Linked DNA regions of Oryzias latipes. The protein of the gene in region 3 interacts with the protein of the main gene of each other region in a pairwise test. Links are inferred from orthologs where the notes say so. Each region holds a gene or a part of one and is shown on either strand. Other genes may lie near its edges. The genes, in order: fam204a, zbtb44 and histone-lysine N-methyltransferase SMYD1.

The links.
Region 1: the proteins of histone-lysine N-methyltransferase SMYD1 (region 3) and fam204a interact in binary tests that used the Homo sapiens proteins (3 or more experiments, as listed by UniProt). The link is inferred for Oryzias latipes from reciprocal best matches to the Homo sapiens genes SMYD1 and FAM204A.
Region 2: the proteins of histone-lysine N-methyltransferase SMYD1 (region 3) and zbtb44 interact in binary tests that used the Homo sapiens proteins (3 or more experiments, as listed by UniProt). The link is inferred for Oryzias latipes from reciprocal best matches to the Homo sapiens genes SMYD1 and ZBTB44.

Annotation. Positions count from the first base shown.
Region 1 is NC_019873.2:30,054,753-30,059,068, forward strand, and holds the start of fam204a (protein FAM204A), read left to right. Parts: upstream 1-1,403; 5' UTR 1,404-1,645; coding exon 1,646-1,837; intron 1,838-1,922; coding exon 1,923-2,004; intron 2,005-2,087; coding exon 2,088-2,118; intron 2,119-2,656; coding exon 2,657-2,759; intron 2,760-3,900; coding exon 3,901-3,990; intron 3,991-4,316.
Region 2 is NC_019871.2:31,051,364-31,055,011, reverse strand, and holds part of zbtb44 (zinc finger and BTB domain-containing protein 44), read right to left. Parts: coding exon 3,599-3,648; intron 506-3,598; coding exon 205-505; intron 1-204. UniProt on the Homo sapiens protein: May be involved in transcriptional regulation.
Region 3 is NC_019867.2:7,701,998-7,706,420, forward strand, and holds the start of histone-lysine N-methyltransferase SMYD1, read right to left. Parts: upstream 2,874-4,423; 5' UTR 2,750-2,873; coding exon 2,628-2,749; intron 2,449-2,627; coding exon 2,272-2,448; intron 2,000-2,271; coding exon 1,786-1,999; intron 1,257-1,785; coding exon 1,126-1,256; intron 1-1,125. UniProt on the Homo sapiens protein: Methylates histone H3 at 'Lys-4' (H3K4me), seems able to perform both mono-, di-, and trimethylation. Acts as a transcriptional repressor. Essential for cardiomyocyte differentiation and cardiac morphogenesis.

The DNA.
Region 1 (4,316 bases), on a different chromosome or scaffold from region 3:
CTATTAGATATCTCATTTACTTTGTACACACAGTGCTAATCTCTGCTAATGAATTCTGCCACACCAGCCAGATCCAGATGACTTTAAATTATTACCACTCACACAGATACGCCTTTCCTCATTTGAGGCTCAATCTGGCTGGCTGGCAAAAACAGTCTGTCACAGTAAGATACTAATAATTAGGGTTTTAAGATGATTAGTTTATCTCTCTGCTCTTACAGTCCTGCCTCTTTCCCAGCACGGCCAAAACTTAATACGAGGCTCTAAGTTTTAAAAAGCCAACTCCAAATTACCAAGAAATGACAGAAATAATGAACTGGAGGACGTGCCAGGAGCAGGGAGGAGGGAAAGCGGGGCAGGAAGACGCTGGGCAACAAAGCTGGGGCATCAATTCATGTGTGAAATAGAACACAAAGGCTGCTAATCAATAAAAACAAGAGTAGAACCAAAACAGCGTTAACCAGGCTTTGTGACTCTCATTTACATCCAATCTCTGATGTGCTCATGAACTTGTCACGCGCTGTAATTAAAGTCCCAGTGAAGCTGCGGCCTGTCAACCACTGCAGGAGATACCGTGGTCACATGACTGGCGTGGCGTTCACAGAGCATTATCACACAACTTTCAAAACAAAGACAGCAACTTTTCACACACAGAAACCAAAATCTGCAGCTTTTTGTCTGAAATGTAAGAACTAATTAGAGAGAAAAAAACACAAATTATAATGATCTCTTTACGGTTTCTCTATGCTAAAGATTTCTTAAATTATATTTTAGTCAAGAGAAATGTACTTATTGAAATCATAATGTCATCATTACCAATAGCAGAGACACGCCCACCTGAGCATTAAATGAACCTTCTGCTTCATTCTTTTGTTTAAAGCTGCGTTCACAAAAATGATGTTATAACCTCAAAATGATTTAAAAACCAAAAGGAAATAAATCCCTATGTGACAGATTATTAGATATTTAGTGAGCTTCAACACTCTGCAGCTGCTCATCTGTCTTTCGCTCCGACATGGAAACAAACTGCAGAAAGTGGAAGCGGACGCAGTCAAAGAGCAATTTGTGCGGAGCGGCGCGCGCCAGGTCCGCGGGCGGCGCCGCATTTGCATGCTAATCATTCTAATAGGAATGTCAGCCCGCAGCGCTTCCCGCAGACGGAGAGCTGCTGGTCACAGAGGGAGGCTTATCGCAGCCGGAACATGACACAAACCAGCCTCACATCTGAGGAGTCCTGCTAAAGCTGGACCTGCAGTGTGTCTGCGCGCCTCCATCTCACAGGCAGCAGCAGAGCAGAGGCTGCTGGGAAGGAAGCCGCTTCCTTCCCAGCAGCCTCTGCTCTGAAAACGGAGGCCGCCAAAAGGCTCCGAAACTCCACTAAAGTCGCTTTTTACGCCAAATTTCAAGTCCAAACTCAAGTTTCTCTCTTTTCGTTTGACTTCAACCCGATAATCGATGGTTTTGTTTGATCAACAGCTGGTTGGACAATATTCTCCATCCCGCCCCGCCCCCTCGAGCTGTTAGCCAATGACCACCTCCACAGAGCCTACGTCACGTTGTTTACCCGGAAGTACATGCACGCAGTCACCGCAGCGTTTAGTGGATGAATTTCTGTCCATTTTTGCTCTAAAGTGAGCTCATTAAAATGTACAGCGGACTCCTGCCTAAAGGCTTGACCGAGGAAGACCTGAGTCCAGATGAGGAAGACGGTGGTGAATGTTCGGTTAAACCCCCTGGATGTCCCGCAGGACCGTCCACGGCGGAGACTGCGTCCGCCCACGGCGGCAGCAACCCACAAACAGGCGACATGCCGGGGGTCCCCCAGGAAATGTGGCGAGTGAGTCCTCTGTCTTCTCCACGATCTAACAGCGCTGCCTGTGCTGTCCTTAGCTGTAAAATACTGAAGATGTTTCCTCCTTTAGAAGTTCCAGGACCTGCGAAAGAGGAAAAATGAAACGAAAACGATAAAGATTCGCGAAAAACGAAGAAAAAGACGCAGAAAAGGTTTATTTATGATAAACGAGGAGCTTCAGCTGAAGGTTCTGTTACTGGTTTCCACCTAATGAGGAGTCTGTTTTCATTTACAGGAGCAGAAAGACGGGAACCTGCAGGAACCAGGTACAGGAACCCTTCACAAAACGCAGGACTACACTTATTTGAAGTATACTTGAGTATTAGTACAGTATAGCCCATGTACTTGTAGTGTAGGAAGTGTAACTCTACAGATGAAGGGGTAACGGTCCCAGGATCTCACTCCAACATTTGATGAAGCTTGTGTTTTTACATCAAACACGCAGATGTTTCCCGTTGACCCTAAATCCTTCAGAAAAACATGTTTTTGGACAAACAGCTGATTTTCTTTAGGACACACTTGACATCCTTCAGATGAGGTTCATCGGGGTGTTTGCTGGCGATGGAAAAGCCTCTGGGATCAGTCCTCAGGATCTGGTCTGACAGCGATGACCAACTCTCTGATGTGTTGTTTAGTATTGGATCTGTCTGACTCTAAGATGGATTTATTTCTGGTTAATGTTACAAATGGCCGTAGTTCTGCTCCTGACTCCTTCAGGTCAGCCGGGTTCCAATGCAGGTTTGAGGCAGTTCATTTCAGCAGAGCAGCTTCAGCCATGATGATGGCCTCCATTTTTGTTGTCAGGGAGCAGGAAGAGGAGCAGCAGAAACACTGGAATGACTTACAGCAGTATTTCGGCGTAAATGATCGATTTCAGCCTCCTCCTTGTTCCAAACCGCCTCCAAAGGTAACAGACTCTCCTCCAGCGGATCTTCTTCACTTTCATTCTGCTTCTGTCATAGTTGTTAGCGACACCTTGTCATCCTTTGTGTGCCGGTGCTGCCGTGTGTTTGATGTGACGCGGGGATTACAAAGGAACCTTCCTTAAAAGTCACGCGTTCTGTCGTGTTTCCCGATGAGATTAGCTTGAATCTCTGACGGCTTCAGATGAACGCGTGGCGTTTCGCCGACATTAAACATTCGTTCAACAGAAGGAGACAAAGTTCCTTCAAAAGCATCTGAGAGAAACATTTCCTTAACAAGCAGATAGCAACATTTAACTACTTTTATAATTGAAAAATGAAAACTTTCTGTCAATGAGAGCGTTTTCATCGATGTGAGTCATTGTAGGCAAACTGCCAATGAAGCAAAACATTCAACTGAGCGGGTCAATAGGAACTGCTCTGAAATTCCTTTAATGATTATTTTGGAGTATTTTGTGCTTAATTAATCTCACAGCAGCAGAAAATTGGGTTTTTGCTGATTTCGGCCTCATTTGGAAGTGAAGGGATGAAACAAGAGGAAGCAGCTGAATAAAACAGAGTCGTCTCATCAGCGTAATGACGGCTCCCTTCATTAAAGGCCGGCCGCCATCCTTAATATCTTCTTTGAAACACGGAAACACTCTGTTGTTCCACTAAGACACACCAGATGTCCTGTTTTATCCAGTGGCATACGTTCATTTAAAATGATGTCATTATTTTTGAGCGCATGTGTAGAAAAAAGTGAAAGAGTAAATGAATAATTAGAGGCCTTTTCGTTCCATAAGAATGTTTTTGGAGCTGAGGAAATGCGGCGCTCTGCTCATCACGGCAGAACCAGCTTCCCTGCCATAACTGGGGGCTTCTCTGCAACCCCCTTCGCCCAGGCCTGTAATGGAAATGTGTAATTAAAGAAGCACATTTATGTTTGGTAATCTCCTGTAGCATTTCTAAGATTTTCCCACTAATATCCAATCAAAAAGGTTTTCATTTGTGAAGCGAAATCTACATATTTGTGGTAATGGCATTGGTATTAAAAATAAGGCCCCGGGGACTTTTGAAGTTCCTCTTTGATTTTTTTTTTCTTCCTCTCCCCTTATTTGAAAATTCTTTCCCCCTCTGCTGCAGTCCGGCCTAGAAAAGAACATTGAGAGGGCCATCGCTGAAGGGGACTTTGCAAAGGCGGAGGAGATGAGCGACAGACTCGCCACTCGAGAGGTACGTGGACTCGATAAGAGATCTTTGGGGTGCTCCTGCTGTGACAAATCAGGCTAATGGATCCGTGGCCATTTCTGCCGCAAAGACATAGAGGAACAAAAACACACGCAGACATCCTCCATTCAGTCCTGCAGCCCTTTTCCATTCACTTAATGGAAAGCCCTCCCCTTAGTTTTGAAGTGCTGCTCTGTCTAAAGGACTTTTGGCTCTGCTTTTTAATGAAGGCTACATTGCTTTCAAGCCCGACTGTTAAATCATACTCCAGGTAGGAGTTTCAAACCTTTGAAGTGTGCTCGTCCCTGAATGCACTGCCTGAAGTTTTGGAA
Region 2 (3,648 bases), on a different chromosome or scaffold from region 3:
TTCATTAAATGACAGTGCAGTTTCCCAGCAGATACATTCAACAGAGTTCATGAACACCACAACTGAGCAGTGAAAACAATAGTCATCAATACAACAACACAAAGTCAGGACGCAGTCAAGTATTGGCAGAAGAATCTGCACTAACGGTTCGGATGCAGGTGAGATCTAAGGAAATAATGGGCTCAGCGCCCCCAGACTCCTCACCTGCTCTGGAAGTAGTTTGCTAGCTCGGATGCCTCATGGTTCAGACTCCTCAGGTGTACAATTAAATTGCCAGAGTTGGTGAACATGGCGCCGCATGTTTTGCACTCATAAATCCGCGGCTTGCGGATTATGTGTCGGGAGACCCTCATGTGGTGCTTATATTCACCGAAGGACGTGAATGTGGCGCTACAAATCTGGCACCGGAAACAGCGTTTACCTTCGTGCTTCAGCCGATGCATCTTTAGGGAGTAGGCCCGAGTGAACTTTTTCCCACAGCGGTCGCATTGGAAGGGCTTAATGCCTGCAGGGGGGAGGGACAAGAACACAACGGCACACAGGGACAAAATGTCATCCTCCACATTTTTACTATGGCCTTCATCACTAACACTGTCTCATTTGGATAACACACACACACACAAACACAAAAACAACGGACCATTTCTGCTCATTTTTGGCACATTTATTGTCATCTCGTGACTCAATCTTGCAGCAAATTCAAAAAATGTTTGGAACCACTGATAATATTAAAATCATTTTCTTTTGGATTTTTAAAATAGTTTTATGTTTGATACTTTTTATTTTTGTAAATAAATATATTAAAATGGTGGTGCTGTGGTGCAGAGGCAGAGCGGTCAACTTGTCATTGAAATGTTTTGCAAGGTTTGAATCCCTGTCTGCATTTCCATGTACCGAAGTGTCCTTGAGCAAGACACTGAACCCACATTGCTCCTGGTGGGTGTTTGGCAGCGCAGCCGCCATCGGTGTGTGAATGGGACTGTGACTGTACAGCACTTAGAGAGGGTGGTAAAGAGCTACACAAGAACACGCAGTTTACCATTTAAGTGTTCTGATTACTATAACTATCAATCAATGAATTATTATTTATTTTTTATGCAACAAGGACAAGTACACTGAAATTGAAAGTATTCTTCATTTTTGTACTTGTGAGCTATTCAAACAAAGCTTTTTTTTCATTTGGTAACAGTTCTAGGTTTATATCTTTTCTTTATTCAAGTTTTCTTCAAATTTAAAGATCTGTATATGTACTTTTTTGTTTTCTCTTAAATTTACAACGTGCACCATATTTTTCAGAGCATATGTCGCATTTTTTTGCATAGTTGGGGGGGGGGGGGGGTGACGTATGTGTGACTTTAAGGATAAATAGCAACAACCTCTAGAGGGCACTGAAGACTAGACTAGACAAAACAGCCATTATACATACAGGACCATAAATATTTGGACAGAGACACATTCTTTCTCATTTTGTTTCTGTACATTACCACAGTGAATTTTAAATAAAACAACTCAGATGCCATTGAAGTGCAGAATTTCAGCTTTTATTCCATGGGTTGAACAAAAAGATTGTATAAAAATGTGAAAACTAAAGCATTTTTTAAACACAATCCCTTCATTTCGTGGGCTCCTAAGTCATTGGACAAATGACTTCCATGCTATTGCATGGGCAGGTGTGGGCGATTCCCTTGTTATGTCATTATGAGTGAAGCAAATAAAAGGCCTGGAGTTGATTAGAGGACTCGTGCTTGCATTTTGAAGATGTTGCTGTGAACAGACAACATGCGGTCAAAGGAGCTCTCCATGCAGGTGAAAGGAGCCATCATTAAGCTGAGAAAACAGAAAAAAACATGCCAGAAATCGCTACAGTATTAGGAGTGGCAACATCAACAGTGTGGTCCATCCGGAGAAAGAAAGAAAGCACTGATGAACTCAGAAACGCAAAAAGACCTGGACGTCCACGGAAGACAACAGTGGTGGATGATGGCAGAATCATTTCCATGAAGAGGAACCCGTTCACAACAGCCAACCAAGTGAACAACACTCTCCAGGAGGTAGGCGTATCAATATCCAAGTCTACCATAAAAAGAAGAATGCATGAAAGTAGATACAGAGGGTTCACTGCAAGATGCAAGCCACTCATAAACCTCAAATATAGGAAGGCTAGATTGGACTTTGCTAAAAAGCATCTAAAAAAGGCAGCACAGTTCTGGAAAAACATTCTTTGGACAGATGAAACCAAAATCATCCTCTACCAGAATGATGGGAAAAGAAAAGTATGGAGAAGGCGTGGAGAAGCTCATGATCCAAAGCACACTACATCATCAGTAAAACACGGTGGAGGCAGTGTGATGGTCTGGGCCTGCATGGCTGCTAGTGGCACTGGGACACTAGTGTTTATTGATGACGTGACACAGGACAGAAGCAGCCCAATGAATTCTGAGGTGTTCAGAGACAAACTGTCTGCACAGATCCAGGTGAATGCAGCCAAACTGATTGGACGGCGTTTCATAATCCAGATGGACAACGACCCAAAACATACAGCCAAAGCAACTCAGGAGTTTATTAAAGCAAAGAAGTGGAATATTCTTGAATGGCCAAGTCAGTCACCTGATCTTAACCCAATTGAGCAGCATTTCACTTGTTGAAGACTAAACTTCAGACAGAAAGGTCCACAAACAAACAGCAACTGAAAGCCGCTGCAGTAAAGGCCTGGCAGAGCAATCAGAAGGAGAAAACCAGCATCTGGTGATGTCCATGAGTTCAAGACTTCAGGCTGTCATTGCCAACAAAGGCTTTTAACCAAATATTAGGAATGACCATTTTGTTTTCAGTTATTTCATTTGTCCAATTACCTATGAGCCCATGAAATGAAGGGATTGTGTTTAAAAAATGCTTTAGTTTTTCACATTTTTATGCTATCTTTTTGTTCAACCCATAGAATAAAAGCTGAAAGTCTGCACGTCAATGGCCTCCGAGTTGTTTTATTTAAAATTCACTGTGGTAATGGACAGAAACTAAATTAAAATAGAGGGAAATTCCACAGTGGGATTCTCCAATGTGGTGGTGAATGCAGACTGATAGAAAAACACAGCAGATTTTCAGTGTTTGGTAGTGACACATAAGAAGAAACTGATTTAGTTAATTGAATCTAATGTTTAGTCGACGTGTTAACATGTTCTTTATGGTTGTCTGAATAATTGTTCTGGTACTTTTGAGCATTTAACAGTTTTCAAATGTTCACTTTTTCTTCCATTTATAATCTGTCTTTTCGTTCACCTTAAGCTGATCCTGATTTGACCTCATTGAAGTGTTTTATCGTCGCTGCAAGTACCAGTAAAACAACATTTAAGGTGTTCTGTACTTGTTGCAAGGACAACAGTGTGACAGTGTGTGTATGTAAGTGTGCATGTATGCAAGCAGAAGTTCTGTTCCGAAGTTCCCTAAAGTCATTGGAAAGTGTGCTAAACATTGTTCGGCACATTGACCCCTGCACCGACCTCCTTAAACACCAGAGCCAATCCGGATCCTTTTCACACACCCTCTAAATGATTCTTCCAGGTCCTGCAGTAAGCACAGACCGCGTGGACGTCTCACCTACCCGAGTGTATGAGCATGTGCTGCTTTAGGTTCTGAATGCGTGTGAATCGG
Region 3 (4,423 bases):
TTGAGGTTTTAAGTGTATTTCAATGTTAATTCCTAACAAAAACAGCCCCAAAGTGGTATTTTGATTCATTTACTCATCTCTGAGTAGTCCTCTAAAACCCTGAGAGTTGAAGAGATGCTTCATCTTTATGCAGTTTTATTACTCAGGCCCCTGAACACGGCCTGCAACTAATGATGACGTCACACTATTCGATTGGCTGTACGTTGGTCCAATGACATGTGAGATAGTGATCGGTCTGGATAAAGTAGGGTACGACCGTACAAGAAGAAATTGGGAGTTCCGTTGTAAAAAAAGCTCCGACTTAGAGCGAGATGATCTTTTGCACGGGCTTTTATTATTCTTATGATTATTATAAAGTGCATGTTTGCATATACAGTACAGACCAAAAGTTTGGACACACCTTCCCATTCATTTGAATGAATGGGAATGAATTCATTTTGTAAATCTGTGCGGCCAGTGTTTTTTACTTGACCAAGCTGACCCAGAAGGGTTAGGATTAGGTTAAAACGTGCTAACAACATTTAGCCGTGGATGAACTTAAGCTGGAATAACATCAGCCTTTTATTATGTCTGGACCCGACTGTAACACAAATTCTCATGATTGTTTTCACGGGTTCTCAAATGCTCCAACATTTGTACTATTCATATCTCTGCTTGGAGATACGAATCTGCCAGGAGACACGGTTCTCCTGCGTCTGGCAGCTCGCTCACGCAGAACAGCCGGACGGACTGCGGTCAGAAGCCTCCTCCGTTGCGCACACCGTCACAAAGCACCTTCCCCTGCCTGCAAACCCAAAGCATGTGCAATGTGTGCATGCGCACGATTGCGCAACAGTACGAGCACAATCGATTAATCCGTGCGCACGGTTTATCTGATTTTCTTTTTTTTTAACGACTGGCACCAGGGGGGCTCAGTACTAAACAAATACAGTTTATTGCAGACCTAAAACTGTTCAAATGTACTTGTTCCAGAATTTATTTTTTTGAATGGACGTACACTCAAACACACCCGAATCCTCTGAAATTTGGTAAATATTACTTTTTTTTCACTTGAGACCACACAGAACTTTTCGTATTAAAGAACTGAGATGAAAAATCGCATTTGTCTGTTGTTTCAGCACTTACTTGCCATGATTAAGGATTACGGTGCAGTTAGGCCAGCAGTCATGATTCACCAGGCACAAATTTGGAAAAAGACCCACTCCTACTGCCTGCAGGCCCCTCTGGTCACTCACAGAGAAACCATTACAGTTGATCTGGAGGAAAAAATTGAACATTTTTAAGGAGTTTTCCTAAAATATGTCTTCCCTTTTTTCTTGTATACTCATATGCTGAGAGTTTTACTGTTTACAGTAAAAGACCAAATGCACAGAATACCAAAATGAGAGAATTAGTTAACAATTAATTTATGTGCTGGACCGAGACCACTATCAGTAAGTACTGTATTATCCATTCAAAGCCAGTTCATGTCGCAAATAAAATTCTTGTACGTGAATTGCTGTTTTTCTGACTTTTTCTAGGCTTTACAATAAAAACGAATAAAATGTGGTAACAAAAATATGTCATTGATCCTCTGACTTTAATAAGATGCCTGGATTTTTAATTGAAAAACACGAAAATTGCTCTACAGCACTGCAGTACTTGTTCTTCTCCTGGATTTAGTTGTGTTTGGTGAGAACAGGCACTTTGCCATCTTTTTGATTGTACAGGAAGGCTGCTTCCACTTCCGAACAAAACGAATAACAGAACAGAACTGGGATGCTACTGTGCGTTTTTTTGACGTACCACTCCAAATATGTGTGAGATGTCATCGACTGTGTGCTGCTTGCTGGTCCGTGGCCAGAAGTCCAGGAAATTGTGGATGTCCACTTTGAGTTCCTTCAGCTCGTCTTCTTGCATGTCCGTGATGTGGTCCTCCAGCTCGTCCAGTGTGGTCAGCTGCATGTCAGACACCGTGCTCCCATCTTTGTCGAGACGCCACAGAATCCGGGCCACCAGCCTGACCACACAAGAGAAAACAAGGAAATGCACACATGGCCCTCTATGGACAAACACCTTAATGAACTGCTTAGATGTATGGTTCTTTACAAATAATAGTAGACACTTACGCAGACTTATAGTTAAAAAAAAGTTGCTTTTTCATAATTTACATTACACACAAAAATTCAGAATAAAGTATTCTAAAAGAAAAATCTGTATGAGAGCCTTACCATATGCTATAAAAGCGTAAAAACTCTCATAATCCAGTGTTTTTTTTTCCTTCTCACTTACCGAATGTTCTCATTTGGTACTTTTCCATAAGCTTTGATGGCGCTGCATTCTTGCTTGTGTTCAGCCCAGCCAGCACGCTGGCAGGTTCGATCACAGTAATGAGCAAATTTACACTGACCGCACCTCTGGAGCTTCTCTTGCCTGCGGAAACAGCTGTGGCATACGCGTTCCGCTAGACTGCACATAAAGAAAAGATTGTATTATTAATTAAAATCAAAAATACAGTCGTCAAGCAATTCTTTTCATGTATAAAAGTTTAAAAGTCACTACATTTATTCAAAAAAATAATTAGAAATACCATACAATTTAAATAAATCTCCAGCACAGAGCCAATAAATCTAGCACTATCATCATACCTGTCAAATACAACAGCTGCAAGACTGGCCTCAGAGAATATGACGTCTCCAGCCCAAAACTCCTTGGCGGCCTTTAAACCCCTCCCTTTCCCAGGTGAGTCAAAAATCACCACGTTTTCCATGATCAGTGCTTTTCCTCCTGAAATTGGATAACCTGTGAGCTTATCAGACAGACCTGTGGAGCAAAAGTCTAACTTTTCTATATTTTCTGGGACAACTGCACATTCATGGCTTGTTGCACTGAAATAGCCACACACCTCTTGAACTGTACCACGAACCACAGCAAATAGGTGTGCGTCTTAAGTTCACAAAGAAAAAAGAAGTCTTCCATGGAAAATTAAGAAATATAAAAAATTGGTTGAAACATCACCCAAAAAAAAGACTTGCTGATGTTCACTCACCAAGAGTCTTTCAAATGTGTTCAGACTTTTACATTTATGGCATTTCTATGCCTCCCCCCCTGTATTTAGGTGGTAGTTGCCCTCTGAAGGTTATTTTTGTCCCTCAGTTGTGTCTGTCCATCAGGGTTCTGTGGTGACGCTGAGCAGCTGAAAAAAGTTCTGCAGTCCTTCTCTGTCTCACTGCCTCTACTCTGTTCTGGTGCTTTCTCCAACATGTCTACCTGTAAAATGAGTCATGAAATGACTGAGTGACACGAAGCACAGGTTCATTTCCAGCCCTGACAGATTCAATCCTTCATTTTTGGCAGTTTTTCAAACTATTGATTGAATTTTCTTTTACATTACTTTGAGATAGAAACATACGACAATAACAGAAACAAGTTTAGTTTTTAAATGTGTGTATCACAAACATTTTTAGGGATGCTCTGTGTTAAAGGTGACATTTTTTTACTCAAAAGTGTTTTAGGAGCAAAAAAATGTCACAGACACAGTCTTCAATCCATTCAACCCTGAATGAAAGTCAGCTATGTTCCATGCAACTCTTTAGTGTAAAGAAACATATGAGCTGTTTTTAATGACAGAAAAAAAATCTAAGTTTTTTTTCTCTGGTGATCACAGCAGAATTCCTCTTTTTTTTAACCTGGTTGCAAAAATATTTAATATATTTATCCAGTAGGTACTGTATGCAATTTTTGCCCCCCTCTATTAAAATCTTTCTGGTTCATACTTCTGTCTTCCTACAGAATCTCAGCTTGGGTTCAGGTTTTTTCTTTTTTTTACCGTTCCGTTGTGGTATTTCCAACTATTTTTGAAATACATAATAAGTTATATAGTTAACTCAAGGATACTCCAATGTATTTCACATCTAGTGCGAGGTGCTTGTGCTGAGTTGCTCTTTGTATCAAGACCTAATAAATTCTAAGCCATATTTTATATCAGAATTTTGACCGTCCCTATTAAAGCTGCAACTGTTCTTTAGTTTTGTGTGGTAAATTTGCAAAAGCTCTTTCGGGAGGTGAGAATCATGAAATTGTTGAATCATCCCAACATAGTCAAGCTTTTTGAGGTCTATAACTCTGTAACAGGTTTGATTACAACCTGAACAATAACTGACGTGTGGTTATTTATTGTTCAGGTCAGTTCAAGTATGTTTCAAGGTTGTTGTTTTTTTGTTTGTTTTTTAAGTTGTTTTAACCACATTTTTAAACCTGAAAAGAATATTTAAATGACTAAATACCTGGAATTTAAAAAATTGCTAGAGTTAACATCTTATAGTTCAGCTTTTGACACATCCACTCAGGGGTGGCCAAAGTCAATAAATTTCCACATTTGGTTTAGCAGAGATTCTCCATGTGCGTTCTGTTTACATGCCATTTCTGCACACCTCAGTATAGT